Rhinolophus ferrumequinum: one gene and its partner. The protein of the gene in region 1 purifies or fractionates together with the protein of each later gene. This does not show direct contact. Links are inferred from orthologs where the notes say so. Each region holds a gene or a part of one and is shown in the gene's direction. Other genes may lie near its edges.

Region 1 (7,677 bases):
TGATGCAGTGAAGCACTGATGCTGAAATTCTACTTCCATAGTTCCAAGTTTGGATGTATATCAGAATTGCCAAAACATCTTTTTCCCCCCCTTTCTTCCACCTCCCCTTCTGCCCCCCACTCCGGTTCAAGCCGTTGTTTCTCAGTCTAGTTGCGTAGGACACAGCTCCCTGGCCCATGCTGGTATTACGAGTCTTGCGCTCCCCCCGCCGGCTGAGGCAGTAGGTCCACGGTCGTTGGTCGCCGCTCACAGCAGCCTGCGGCAGCACACACCAACCTTCAGCTGCTCACAGTAGCCCAGCTCCAGGGAGAGCTGTTGTTATCTTAGCTGTAAAGGGTGCAGCTCACTGGCCCATGTGGGAATTGAACCAGCGACCTTGGTGTTAGGAGCACGGCGCTCCAACCACCTGATATTCTGGGCCGGCCCCAAAATATCTTTTTAAGAAAAGATTCTGGGCTGTTTCCCCAATGACCTGACTCAGTTGGCCTGGAAATATGATTTTCCAAAGAGCTTGCCAGGTATGCTGTTCATTCACAATTAAAAGTAACAAAAACTTAAAAATAATAAATAAAAGAAAAACTACATGTCTTGAGTTCTGATGTGAGAATTCCATATCCCTTCTTGAAGATTCTGATTGGAAATCACTACACTGGGTAAGTACCGAATTTTTCCTACAAGAATAAAATTTCCATGCTGCTAAATCAAATGGAACTTTTTCAGTCTTCATCTTACCTGAAACATATGAGTGTGGCTCACTCCCCTAAAACTGTCTTTTCTTCTGGCTTCTGATACCCCACTCTCAATTGTGTCCTGTCTTTTGGGCTGCTCCTCCTTTCTCCTCAACTAGTTTATCTTCTGCTAAACCTCCAAGTGTTAAAAATTCTCAAAGCTCAGTCTTAGGTCCCATTCTCTCCCCCAAGTGACCATATTTGCACCCACCTTTAATTATCACATACTGTGTTTCCCCAAAAATAAGACCTAGCCGGACAATCAACTCTAATGCGTCTTTTGGAGCAAAAATTAATGTAATACCTGGTCTTAGATCTTATATAAGACCGGGACTTATATAAGACCGGGACTGATGCGATAAAATACGAAGTACACAGCTTTCTAAAATACAATATTTTCTTCATAACCAAAATATTCTTAGAATCATTTATTCTTATTTTGTTGTCTTATGGTCATCGTTTGGTGTATCATGTGTATCTTTATAAATTAGAAATTTGAGACACTGAGAGTGTACTGTTTAATTATTATTATTATTTTTTACTTTGGAAATGAGACTCTAAATTCAAGTTTCTTAAACTAGATGCACAGGCCAACAAGCACATGAGGAGATGCTCAAAAATAAGTAACATTAGGGAAATGCAAATCGAAACCACAATGAGCTATCACTTCATATCCATCAGAATGGCTATTATTAAAAAAAAATAACAACAGAAAGTAACAAGAGTGGGTGAGGATATGGAGAAATTGGAACCCCAGTGTATTCCTGGGAATGTAAAATTGTGCAGCTTTTATGTAAAACACTATGGTGGTTCCTCAAAAAGTTAAGCACAGAACTACCATATGATCCAGTAATTCCACTTCTAGGTATATACTCAGAAGAACTGAAAACAGGGACTCAGGTAGACATTTATACCCATGGTCATAGCAGCATTATTCATAATGGCCAAAAGGTGAAAACAACCCGTGTCCATAAACAGATGAATAGATACACAAAATGTGGTCCATACAGTATATACATACATGGAACATTATTCAGCCTTAGAAAGGAAGGAATTCCTGACACATGCTACAACAAAGATGAACCTTGAAGACATTTATGCTAAGTGAAATAAGCCAGTCGCACAAGGACAAATATTATATGACTATTTAAATGGGGGTAGTCAAATTGACAGAGTTCGTACTATATTTTTCTATTTACATAAAGCACAAACGCATGCAAAACTTACCTCTGATGTTATAAATCTGGATGGTGGTTACCCTTTGGTTGAAAGAGGGAGGAGGCAGGTAGCAACTGGAAGATGGCCCCAGGGGATATAGTGAATTTCAAGGATACTGGTATTGATAAACTTTTTGAAAGTCCAGATATAAGAAGAATGAGATCAAAAACTGACATCTGAAGATTTTTTTGGCAATTGTTTTAGGATCAACCATCTAGGCAGTTATGAAGGAAATGGAATTATCATAAGTGGGATTATGTGTTAAAAAATGACATGTGCAAGATACTGTGCTTGATAAAGAGGTAGTCATTCAACAAGCATTACAAAGGATCTTTTATGTGCCAGACAGGTTGGGGCAAGGTATAGGGGGATATACACAGGTACACAGTGTTAAATGCTGAAGGTGGGGGTGGGAGCGAATGCACACACAAAACAAGCAAATAGGAGACAGTGGACAGAGAATACCTGGAGTAACTGCTGGTAGAATGATGGAAGCAAATCATAACAGAAGTATCTAATTGGGAGATGGTGGTTGCTTACCTGCAAATCCTGCCTTGGTTTCAAATCTGGGAATATGGTGAACCAAAAGCAACATACATGTGGGAACCCAACTAAAAACCTTGGTTAACCTCACTTTTATTCAACCATGGCTGAATGGAACCTTCCTTGCTAAAATAAAAGCCTGACCTTTTAACAACTGTAACAGAAAGGAGATCTGGAAGGAAACCTCTAGGTGGAAACATGGCCTTTGGGTAGTCAAATTGGATTGAGAAATGGGAGTTACTCTTTTCCAACTTTGGTCAGTCAGTCCCAGTCTACACATCAGAACAAACATTAGAGGAGACGGATATGCACGGAGGAGTGTGAGAAGCATTTACTTGGCCAATGAAAAATGCCTACTGTGTTAAGGCCAGAAAACCATAGTGCAATAGTGGAGACAGATAAGTCAACAAGTTATTCAAAAACAATGTATTACATGTGACATGATTAAGTAGAAAAAACTCTGTGGGTAAAGAAGAAGGCGTGATAATGCTTGCTTGGAAGAGTTTGGTAAGGCTTCACTACGGTGACATTTAAGTTGGGCCTTCAAGGATTGGATAGGAGTTTGCCAGGCATGTCAGGAAGTGCAGAGTGAAGCCAGAAGGAGCTTAGAGAATTGAGGAACTGTGCAGAAACTCGGACTGGTTTGAGAACTGGGCTGTGTGTGTCAGATGCAATGACAGAACCAGAGGCTAGGAAGGCAGGTCGGGGGCTAGAGAGCAAAACGTCTTCTCCAAGAGTCAGGGCATTGTGCATCCGAAGGCAATTAAGACACAAAAGTTAAGAGTACTGGTTTTGTTCTAATCGGGGCTCTACCACTTACTAGCTGTGTGATCTGGGCAACAGCCTGGGCCTCAGTGTCTCCGATTATAACGAAAAAGGGGGCTGAGCAATAAATCTGACAAACGCGGTGGGGGTGGGGGGAGAAGAAAGCACATGGCAGGCCTGACAAGCTCAGTGACCAAAAGTAACCACACAGGATGATCTGATCACAAATTCCTAGCTGGGCAGGTCGCAGCGGGTAGTCACACGCCAGGCCTATAGCTTCCTTAGTGAAGGTCAATCTTCAGCTTAAGTGAATCCTGTCCATTGTTCTTATGTAAGTAGAATAACATGCCTCTGAAATGGCAGAGTAATTTTTTTTCTAGACCCCTCAAAGGCACAGCCGCAGGCTCCAGAGCACAAGACCATAGAACCCCTCATCATCTTGTTCCCCCCGTACTATCTCTGTACTGTAAATGTTAAGTATCCTGTACCCACCAACATAAATGTTTCCTCATTTTGCTTTTTATTCAATCCTAGAGATTTCCCTGCTTTGCCTTAATCTACCCCCTCCTTGATCTACCACCAATAGATTTCATGTAGCTTCCTTACGTTTTCGCATCTGATTCTAAATACATAAAAGAAACTGCAAAACTTATTCTCAGGAGCATTTTCTCAACCCGTTGAGATCTTGCTTCCCGGCATGTCCTCAAAAAATTTGGCTCAAATAAACTCTTATAAAACTTTTGTATAGGTTTGGAAGTTCTTTTGTAAACAGCAGTAATAACCTTTACCTTACACAGTTGCTGGATTAAACGACTGAAAGTGTATGGATAGCTGCGCACAGCGTCCAGCCTACTCTGCGTTCAATGGGAACGTTATGATGATTAGGAGGCTAAAACTCGTTTCTGAACCCCCCCGCCCACGGCCTCCTCCCCACTGTTACAGCTGGAGAAAGAAGGTTACCCAGGGCGGCAGCGGCCGCTCCCCACTCCTCCGCCCTCCAGGCCTCAGACCTTCACTCAGAGAGCAAGGCCGGGCCAGAGGAGGGGCGGGCGGGCTTGGCGAGCAGGGGACGCGCGGCGGCTCACCGGGGCTGGGGTCCCGCTCCTTGTCCTCCGCGGTCCCGAGGGCCTTGAAGCCCGGCGGCAGAGCTGGGCCGATCAGATCCCTCGCCATGCGCGGCTGCGGACACTGGTAACGCAGGCAAGTCTCTCCTCGCAGAGCGAAACCCACTCAAAACGCAGCCCGCGATCCGTCGCAAGTGCTGGAAGTTTTTCCGGCGCCCACCAATGACATTGCAGCCTGTGATTGGCTGAGACGTGTAATTCGCCACAACGGAAGTGACGCATAAATCGTGTTCCACATTCGCACGCCGGATTCCCTTCCTGGCGGGCGGCATGGCTGAGCCGGCTAGTGATTTCGTGACTTCCCCGGGCTGGTGTTCAGCCCCCGAGCCGACCCCCACGGTGGGGCTTCTGAGCGACACTGCGCCGCTGCGGGACAATTGGATGCTCTGGGCCATGTGGCCGCCGCCGCCACCGCCTTCGTCGTCGCCTCCCGCGGGAGGGTCAGAGCCGTCCTCGGAGGCGCAGCTCCTCGTGGACACCCGCTTGCACGCCCAGATTCTTCCCGGGGCGCAGCCCCACTTGGACACCCAGTCCCGCCTGGATTCTCAGCCTCAAATCAACGGGCAGCCTTCCTGGCATTTCCAGGCTTCGACATCATGGTACTGGAGACAGTCTCCTGGTAGTGTCCCTTGGCATCAGAAGTCCCACAACACTCCAGGTAGGCTCTTACTCCGCTCCATGCACCCCCCTTCCCTTCTTCTCCCCTTTTCTCTCTCCCATTTCTCCTTCCCCCCCTCTTTGCACTTCTGATTCTGCGTTGCACTCTGGGAGTCTGCTCATTAATGTCTCACAATTTGTCCGACAGGAATTTCCCTCGCCTGTTCATTCGGTTTAGCAGTTATTTGTTGAATTCCACGATGTATCGGGAACTGGGAATGTAGTAGTGAACGAAACATACGAAAATCCTTATCTGTATGGAGCATAATCTCTGGTTTAGGAAGACAAACAAGGTGAAGCCGTGTGTGTGAGACGGCAGTGAGTGCTACGGAGGGAGATAAAGCGAAGAAGAAGGATAGATAGTGCAGGTTTAAATGTCAGTGTCAGCCATGAGGAAGGTGACATTGGAGCAGAGACTTCAGGGAGGGGAGAGACCAGATGGTGGTACGTCTGGGAGATGGGGATACAGGCCGAAGGAACTGCAACTGCAAAGGCCTTGAGGCAGGAGCTATAGATCGGACTGGAAGCTGGTGTGGCTAGAGGGAACTGAGCCCGGGTTAGAACTGGAGAAAATCGGGGAGGAGGGCAGACCTGTTAGGGCCTTGTAGATGATGGCACTTTGGTTTTTCCTGTTGTGACATGCCTAGTGCAGGGGAGTGACATGATTTGATTTATGTTTTAAAAGGGTTAACGTGACTACTGATGGGAATTGATTGGAAGGGAGACCAGTGAGGAAGTTATTGCAGTTCTCCAGGTGAGAGGTATCAGGGCCCTGGACCAGGGTGCAGCTCAGGAGGTGATGAGAAGTAGTTGGATTCTAGACGTATTTTGGAGGTAGGGTAGGACCAAAATGATTTGCTGAAGGATTGGAGATGGGAGTGAGGTAAAGGGGAGACAAGAATAATTTTCAAGTTTTTTGCCAAACAAGTGGGAGGGAGGATGGTGGGTGGAGCAGATTTGGACAGAAGATCAAGAACTGAGTTTGGAATACGCATGTGTCAAGTAGACATGTTAAATAGGCAGTTGGCCAGTAGTTTGTACTTTCAGGGGAGATTTGGCTGGAGCTGTAAACGTGGGTGTCATCAGCATATAGATCATATTGAAAGCCATGAGATTGTTTTCTTAAAACCATTCTCTAACTCCGCATATGATTCAGTTTACATTAAATTGAACACAAACCAGTGTTTACTGTGCACCAAATGCTGGAAATACGAGTGTGCCTAAGGCAGTCCTAAGTCAGGTGAGATGGGTTCATAAATACCGGGGGTGCCAAAAAAACGTATACACATTTTAAGAGATGTTATCTATGTATTACTTTTCGAAGTTGAATTGCGTAGCAATGTATAGTATGATGTTCACGCAAACGGCGTTAATCAAATGAATGCTAGCGCATTCGTTGTATTACAATTTTAATACAGTTTTTCTTCTTTTCTTAAAATGTGTATACATTTTTTTTGGTACCCTCTGTATAAATCACAATACAGTGTGACTGGTGATGGAGCCATATAGATTGTGATTTCAGAGAGTGGCACAGTTGGGAAAAGGATTTGGAAGAAGTGTCTTGGGAGATATTTAGTCAGAGATACTTTTTAGGTGGAAACAAAGAGGTATCAGTACAAGGTGAGTCCTGAAGATTGCAGTGTTCCGGTGTGACTGAAGCAGCGTAGGGGGAGGGTGTGGGAGAAGGGTGATAACATAAACCGGGATCTCATTGAAGGGCTCTAGGACGTCATTTGCAGATTTTCAGCAGGGTTGTGACAATTGGAGGATTATTTTTGTGGTGTCAGTGTGCAGGGTCTGTTGGAAGAAAGGACTTGGGAGCTGGAAGACAATTTGGGAGGCTGTCCCAATAATCTAGATGAAAGGTCAGGGTTTCAGAGTTGGGTAATGGCAATAAGAAAAAAATCTGAGGGAAAATGTATTTCACAAGGTTCTGTTTTCCTGGTTAAAATTGTTGGTCAAAGACCTGTATTACCAGGGGTTTTACTGTTTGCATTTCTAATGTTTGAAATAACCACAAGGAATTTTATTGGTTTAGCTTGTGCATTACTTAGACTCTAATGCATTTGTGGACACTTAGTCTTACCACTGTTATTAAGTTGAAAAATATTCATTTGGTAGACCAGTCTTAATCTTTGTTAATTTGTTCAAACTGCTATTCTTCCTAGAGGAGGTAGTTTACCACTCTTCTTACTCAAGTACTTACGACATGCTACAGCAAATAAAATTTTAAATAATTGTATCGTTGTGAACATTTATGGATCTCTTTTTGTTTTCAGTTAAACATTCTTATCTTCCACGAAACTATGATGCAAAGTTCACTGACTTCAACAGCCCTCCCAGCAGAAAACAGAAGAAAAAGGTATTTTGAAGATGTTCTTAAATGGACCACTTTGGTCCCTATATTGCTCTTTCCTGTCTTGTGTTGCTGTCATAACTCTCAGTGTTTTGCCTCCATTACTGACGCAGTGGAGCCTTGCTATAGTAGGATCTTTAAGGATCTTAACTGTAAGTAAATATTTCAGGCAAAATCTTTTTGAGAAATAAATGGAGAAATTATAGAAAGTGAAAACATTGAATCCATTTCAATGGAGTATCGAGTAAATGTAATTGAGGATTATGATTACAGATGAATAAATGTT
Region 2 (8,158 bases), on another chromosome or scaffold:
TTAAAATAGGCTCATCCAATTCAGACTTTTCTTGTTGCCAGAGAAATGTTAGTTCACTATTAGAAGAAAAATATTATACCTTTGGTATTTAGAAAAGCTTGTACATTCATTATAAACATACCTTTAGCTGCAGCAAACCACACTTACCTATCTATAATAAAAATTTGCTTTAAATTTGTTTTGGTGGTATTTGTTTTTCTTCTTTTGTTGCCATATACTTTTATTATATATGATAGCCCCTCTGGTACAGCCCTTCTCTAAAATATACATATATATATATATATATATATATATATATATATATATATATATATATGCATTATTGCAAAGTGTCTGTTACATACCTATAAAAGGATTATATGGCCTATTTCCCATTTGCACAAAATGAGATCATGACACAGAAATAAACTCTTCCATATGTGGTCAATTGATTTTCAATAAGGGTGGGAAGATCATTCAATGGGAAAAAGGAAAGATTTTTTCAACAAATGCTGCTGGGAAAACTGTATATCCACATGCAAAAGAATGAAGTTGGACCCTTACCTTACATCATATATAAAAATTAACTCAAAATCCTAAATGTAAGAGCTAAAACTTTAAAACTCTTAGGAGAAAACATAGGGGAAAAGGTTTCATGACATTGGACTTGGCACTGACTTCTTAGAGATGACACTGAAAGCACAATCAAAAAAGAAAACAGTAAATTGAACTACATCAAAATTTAAAACTTCTGTGCATCAAAAGACATTGTCAAGAAAGTGAAAGCTATCCCACAGAATGGGAGAAAATATTTGCAAATCATGCATCTGATAAGGGATTATTATCCAGAATGTATAAAGAACTCCTACAACTCAAACAAACAAAAAGAAAAACCAAGCAACCCAATTGAAAAATGGGCAAAGGACTTAATAGAAACTTCTCCAAAGCAGATAGTATACAAATGGACAACAAATGAAAAGATACTCAACTTCACTAGTCATTAGGAAAATACAAATCAAAACCAGTTAGATACCACTTCACACCCATCAGGATGGCTATTATCCAGAGAGAGAGAGAAAGAAAGTAACAAGTGTTGGTGAGGTTGTGGATATACTGGAAACCTGTACATTGTTGATGGGATTGTAAAATGGTGCAGCCACTGTGGAAAAAAGTTTGGCAGTTCCTCAAAGTTAAACATGGAATTACCATATGATCCAGAAATTCTTCTTCATGTATGCATACTCAAAAGAATTGAAAGAAGGGACTCAAGCAGATATTTGTACACCAGTGTTCATAGAGGTATTATTCAGAATATCCAAAAGATGGAAACAACCCAAGTGTGCATAAACAAAATGTGGTTTGTACATGCAATGGAATATTATTCAGCCTTAAAAAGAAATGAAATTCTGATACATGCGACAACATTGATGTACCTTAAAAACATGCTAAGTTAAATAAGCTAGACAAGGAAAAAAGGACAAATATTGTATGATTCCACCTATATAAAATACATGAATAGAACAAATTCAGAGACAGAAAATACAATAGAGGTTACCAGAGATGCTGGGTGAGGTGGGAATGGGGAATTATTTTTAAATGAGTACAGAGTTTCTGTTTAGGATGATGACAAATTTCTGGAGATAGATGGTAATGAAGCTTGCACAACAATATGAATGTACTTAATGCAACTGAATGGTGTACTTTATTGATTAAAATGACCAATTTTATGTAGTATATTTTGCCATAGTTTTTTCTAATGGAGTTATGGCAAAGATGTATGATTTCCTGCTTAAGGAACATAGAAATGTTTTTAAAACAGTGAAGGTTTATTTTAAAGGAAGGAAACCATAGTTTTAAATTCTAGTTTCAGTCTACATGCTATTACCTTTTGTTACCTCCCCAAAAAAAGAGACCTATTTTAGAGACCTAAATGATTTCCTAGATATAATTTAAGAAATATATATAAAATAGAAATACTTTGTTTCTTTTGTTTCTAAAATATTAATTTTAAAGTAAATTTGAATCAACTTAATCATAGGCAGTATAGTACCCTGTTTCCCTGAATATAAGACCTAGCCAGATAATCAGCTCTAATGCGTCTTTTGGAGCAAAAATTAATATAAGACTGGGTATTTTATTATATTGTAAAGACCCAGTCTTATAGTAAAATAAAACCAGGTCTTATATTAATTCTTGCTCCAAAAGACACATTAGAGCTGATTGTCCAGCTGGGTCTTATTTTCAGGGAAACACGGTAGTAGCAGAGTGCTCTGAGGAGTAGCTGTGTGACATATATTCATCATTGAGTGTATTATATAGTATATTCATCATTGCCTCAGTTTCTTCACTGTAAAATGGGGATAATAAAAGTAAAAGTCTGTATTAGTTAGGATTCTCCAGAGAAACAGAACTGGTAGGAAAGATAGATATAGAGATATAGATTTTATAGATTTTATATATATATATGTATATATATATATATAAACTATGTTATAATACATTATATATTAAATGTATATGTATTACAATAATAATATATATACACATATATATACATAATATGGAGATTTATTGTGACGAATTGACTCACATGATTATGGAAGCTGAGAAGTCCCACAATCTGTTGTCTGAAAGCTGGAGACCCAGGAAAGCTATGGCGTAATTCAGTTAGGTCTAAAGGGCTGAGAACCAGGGGAGTCAGTGGTTTAAAACCCATTCCAGGGGCTGGAGAAGATGAGATGTCCCAACTCAAGTAGGCAAACAGAAAGCAAAAGGGAGCACATTCCTCCTTTTTCTGCCTTTTGTTCTACTCACGCTCTCAAATGATTGGATGGTGCCCACCCACATGGGGGAGGGCTATTTACTGAGTCCACTGATTCAAATGCTAATCTCATCCAGAAACACCCTCACAGACACCGAAAAATAATTTGTAATCTGGAATGCCCAGTACAGAGACCTGAGACTAATGTTAGGGTATTATAGCAAGAAGGTTCAATCCTATACTGAAGGAGCCAGGCTTATACAGAGCTTTACTCCACTGAGGTGGAAAAGGGAGGGAAAAGGATTTCAGGAATTGGATAGGAATTCAGTGACAGCCCCACGTACCTTCTGCCTCCCTTTCTCTGTCCCTGCCCTGTCTCTGTTCTTGCAGGCAATACCCTGGCTCAATACTCCCACAACCCAAAGTTCCCTCCTCCAGAGCTACTCAAGCCTCACTTTTCCTTCAAAACTGCCATTCAAGGATACCACCACAACCTCCAATATCTCCATTAAAACTATAGTCCCACAGTGTTGATTGTTTAATTTAGGTGATTAGCTGTGATGCTACCAAGGATCCTCTCTGGTGTAACGATTTCCCTTCCAGGGACTGTGAAAAAAAATACACAGATTATAAGAACAAATGAAGGAAATGACAAAAGTTCCAAATTTTACAAAGTCTTTATGCTTCTGATCTGTAGGTCCAGAAATTTCTCTGGAAATCCAGATGGTTTTATTCTGGATCAACACTCCCTCTCATTGCTCCCATCTCCCAAACCTTGTCTTTATCAAGGCCACCAGGATTCTTTCTGTCATTTAGCCCCTTTTCGTAAGTGTAAACATATCATCTAGCCTGAAAATCCAGTCAGGCTCCTTTTGACTTTGTAGACGGCTGACACCTCTAAGTATCTCCAAAAGAGGCTATGATTCCTCGAGAAGTTTCTTCCTCACAATCCATACAAAGATGTTACTAAACTCTCTCAACTTCAATCCTCCTTCCAGCACTGTTCAAACGGTCGTGCCCCAACTAAGGTTTTATAATTACTCCTTCATTCTGCTCATCCATTCAAAATTCCCATTCCCTGAGCAATGTGTGAATGAATGATAACAGCTAAATGCCCTCCAAATTATGACAGGATTTGAGGGGGGAGTGCAAAGCAGCCCACAGCTACCAAGCCATTTCTTTGGAGTCTCCTTGTGCAGTGAGAAAAATATATCACAGACATGATGTGAAGATTAAGTGAATTGCCTACATTATTATTATAATGTAATAATAATTTTAAAGAGTAATTGAAACATTCTGTGTATTTTTGTATTTTTTAGATCTTCTAGTCCTGGGGATTGAATTTTGGGCCCAGTTTTTAAATAGGGAGTGTGTGTGTGTGTATATATATATATATATGTATCATATAGATACATATGATATAGATATATAGATATAACTCTAAGATTACATATATACATATATGTGTATGTGTATGTTAGTAGTATATATAGAATCCTGTAGGATGCTGGGAGTGGGGCACTGGTCGATGTGGGCTATTACTGACAAATAATTGAAAGAACGAAAGTTAATGCTTTCTTTCCTATCTGAAACCTATAGGGATTCTCAGTAATAATAGCCCCGTATATTGAGTTTGTTTCAGTCACTGCTAGCTTATTTCCATGCAGGATTCCATTTGATCTTTACAATAATCCTAAGAGATTTGCAATACCGTCGTGTCTAGTTTCTAGGTGAAGAAACTGAAGATTGGAGAGGTGTAACATAAGGTATTTCTTCCATTTTCATACAAGATTAATCTTTAATATAAATCAGGGTGGATCTTTCCATTCCAAGATAATGGGTTTAGCTTGTCTCTCCGCCCGGATCCTCCAGTTTTCACAGAGAGGAATGTAGTCACGCGCAGAAGGTGTGGCGGGAAGCGGCCTCCCCAGGGGAAGGATTTGGCGAAGCCCCGCCCCGAAGGCGGGACCGTGGTGGGCGTGGCCTCATGACAATTTGGAGTATCTGGGCCGGGCCGCTGCAGAGCCGTAAAGAACTCTACGAGTCGTGAAGTGGCGAAGCGCGGAAGTGTTGCTTTACGACGATTTGGAGGAACACGCCAGGCCGGCGCTCACTGCTTATGACTTCTCTGCCCCACACGTGGGCCGCTGTCGGTGATCCCGCCGGTAGCTCATACTGTTGGCGTGGACCAGCCATACTGGAGGACAGAGTGGCAGCGGATGCCAGGGGTCGTGAGCTGATGGATTTTGCTGCCGAGAATGAAGGAACGTCGGGAGGCGGTCTCCAGATTGGAGCTGAAGGGGCGCGGCTCTGTCTCCAGTCCTGTACGGAGGGAGTCAGGTCCGTAGCAGGGACCGAGGAGGCCTGCGGTGGAGAGGCGGGTTATGAACTGACAGGACTGGGAAAGATAGGGAGTAGAGAAGAAGGAAGTGGACAAAAGGCAGAGCAAATGCGAATGGACCTATCGGTTGTGAAGCAAGAAGTTATGGACTGGTCGGAAATGAAAGAAGGTATGCTGGACGGCCAGTGGGTAAAGCAGGAGGTGGAGGATGGGCCAGAGGTGAAGGAGGAGAAACCGGACACATTGGAGGTGAAGGAGGAGAAACCGGACACATCGGAGGTGAAGCAGGAGATAGGTAGTAGTTTGGTGGTAAAAGAAGAGAAAATGAATGAGCCAGAGGTGAAGGAAGAGAAAGTGAAAGTAAAGGAAGAGGTGATGGACTGGCTAGAGGTGAAGGAAGAGAAGAAAGAAAACTTGGAGATAAAACAGGAGGAGGCGTTTGTTGGTCAGAACATAAAAGAGGAGGTAATGATGGATGAGGTGTGTGTAAAAGAAGAAAAGTATTTCCCGAAGCAAGAAATGATGGATGATACAAAGGTGAAAGAAGAGCCTCAGATAAGTTGCCCAGTGGGCTCCAAGCGGAAACTGGCCATGTCAAGGTAAGGCAGGGAGATACCCAGTGGAGGAATAAAGCTGTGGAGTTGTCTCATGTCTAGATCGGAGGAAACTACACTACCAGCGCTGTGTGGAATAATGGAAAAGAAGCACAAATCTGGGGCTCCTAGAGCCTGAGTGGTGAAAGTGGGGAATTGGTAAGGGAGGGTTTTGTCAGGTGGCAACAAATTCAGTGAAAATCAGAGGTTGTTAGTGTCCGGTGAGCAAATTAGGAGGTGAAAATTGTGGAAACCAGAAAACCTGTGGACCAGATTCTGGCTTGACTAACTACTATGCTCTTGATTCAGTATCTTGAGAGAGGATAAACATGAGAGAAAAATCTCATAAAACCAACAATGACAGAGTGGATTGAGTTAAAATTAGACAAAATGCACTTGAACTCACCCAATTGTCCAGTTTCTGTATGGGTACTATGAATATTTACTACTTTTGATTTAATTTCCAAATAGTGTGTAATCCTGTGGCCGCATAGGAAATAAAAGTGTGGTCAAATTCTTGGGACTGTTACTGTCTAGGACACAATAGGCGAAATAGAAGTAGCTGTAGTTTGGTTGTCAGTATCCCAAGATCCTAGAAGAGCAGTTGAAGACAGGTGATGCGTAATAGCATTTCAAGATTATTTTGATGCCCATTCTAGGTTGGGGGTGGGGTTGAGGAAAAAAGATGCAACTTCTTTTTTTTTTTATTAATTTATTTTTAATTTATTGGGGTGACAATTGTTAGTAAAATTACATAGATTTCAGGTGTGCAATTCTGTATCACATCATCCATAAATCACACTGTGTGTTCACCACCCAGAGTCAGCTCCCCTTCCATCTTGAGATAAACGAAAATGAAAACACGGCAACTTCTTTTTACTGTCTAAATTCGATTGGGTCTTACATTCTTCTACTGGTGTGTGTGCCTTTAAGATAGCTAAACATAGCTAGCTCATGGATTGGACTTCTGGGTATAATATGCACACACTCACACAATCTTTAGCAGATTGCCGGGAATTACAAGTTAAAATATCATTGAAAATCTCATTCTCTGATTATAGTAGAAAAAGAAGTCAAAGGTGAGACGATTTTTTTAAAATTTAATACATTTTTTAAATTACATGTCATTAACAATATTATAAATGTAATTGTCATTTGGAGACAGTTTCCAGCTATTAAGTATTTTATCAGTTACATGCATTATACTTTACTCACTACGACTATCTCTGTAAATTGATTGTGATGAGTAATTAAGTCAGATTAAGTTTATAAACAAATAGGGAGAATTAATATTTGATAATTAAATTTCATATGGGCTTTTATAGGTGTGAAACTTGTGGTACAGAAGAAGCAAAATACAGATGTCCACGTTGTATGCGATATTCTTGCAGGTATATATGTAATTTCCTACCTTATTACCTCTATCTGTACTTTTGTTACCTCCAAGTATAAAAGTACTTCCTCTTTGTCTCTTTAGTTTGCCCTGTGTAAAGAAGCACAAAGCAGAACTGACATGTAATGGAGTTCGAGATAAAACTGCATATGTTTCAGTACAACAGTTTACTGAAATGAATCTCTTAAGTGGTAAGCCATCTTATGCATAGCAGATTGATGTTTTCTAGAAATTGACACATATCATTTGTTTATTTTTCTATTTTGAAATTTGCAGATTATAGATTTTTGGAAGATGTGGCAAGAACAGCAGACCATATTTCCAGAGATGCTTTACTGAAAAGACCATTAAGCAATAAACATGTAAGTATTTCTTCTAATCCATTCTTATTAGAATTCCTTCTGATTAGATTCATTTTTTTCACTCAGCAAATAAATGTATTAAGTAGCTACCATGGTCTCAGACTATTCCAGTTACTAGGATACAGCAGTGACCAAAACGAAGTCCTTCCCCTCATGGAGCTTGTAGGGATAGAGACAGGAGATAAGTAGAAGAACAAATATAATTTCAGATATAGTTAAATGCATGTGGAAAATAAAGAAAGCACAGGAGGTTAAAGAAAATGAGAATGGTGTTTGTTGGGTGGAAGTTGTGAGGGTACCATTTTTGATACAGTGGTCAGGAGAAGTTCCTCTGAGAGGTGACATTTAAGCAGCGATCTGAATGATGAGAAAGAAGCAGTCATGTGAACATTTGGCCGAAGACTTACCAGGTAAAAACAAAAGCAAAAATAAAGACTCTGAATCAAGAATGAGGTTGGTGTGTTTGAGGAATTAAAAAAGGAGTGAGGTGACTGAAGCATAGCTGACAGGAGAATGTCGAACATGAGTTCAGAGAAACTGGTGAGGGTTCTAATCTAAGTGAAAATGGAAACCATGGGAGGGTTTTGAGAGTGTTTTCTTTTTGAATGATCACTCTTGCTGCTGTGTAGAAAATGGACTTTAGCTGGCAAGAGTGGAAGATGGGACGCGAGGAAACCAGTTACAACATTATTGCTGTGGTTTAGGTGAGAGATGATGCTGTTAGAATTA

The links.
Region 2: the proteins of NUFIP1 (region 1) and ZNHIT6 purify together in Homo sapiens (affinity purification with western blotting; 3 studies listed by BioGRID and IntAct, with this or other methods). This does not show direct contact. The link is inferred for Rhinolophus ferrumequinum from reciprocal best matches to the Homo sapiens genes NUFIP1 and ZNHIT6.

Annotation. Positions count from the first base shown.
Region 1 is NC_046287.1:5,885,891-5,893,567, forward strand, and holds the start of NUFIP1 (FMR1-interacting protein NUFIP1), read left to right. Parts: upstream 1-4,631; 5' UTR 4,632-4,648; coding exon 4,649-5,036; intron 5,037-7,314; coding exon 7,315-7,397; intron 7,398-7,677. Other genes in the region: GPALPP1 (GPALPP motifs-containing protein 1), read right to left, coding at 4,340-4,427. UniProt on the Homo sapiens protein: Binds RNA.
Region 2 is NC_046292.1:64,429,509-64,437,666, reverse strand, and holds the start of ZNHIT6 (box C/D snoRNA protein 1), read left to right. Parts: upstream 1-4,774; 5' UTR 4,775-4,859; coding exon 4,860-5,680; intron 5,681-6,999; coding exon 7,000-7,065; intron 7,066-7,151; coding exon 7,152-7,258; intron 7,259-7,343; coding exon 7,344-7,429; intron 7,430-8,158. UniProt on the Homo sapiens protein: Required for box C/D snoRNAs accumulation involved in snoRNA processing, snoRNA transport to the nucleolus and ribosome biogenesis.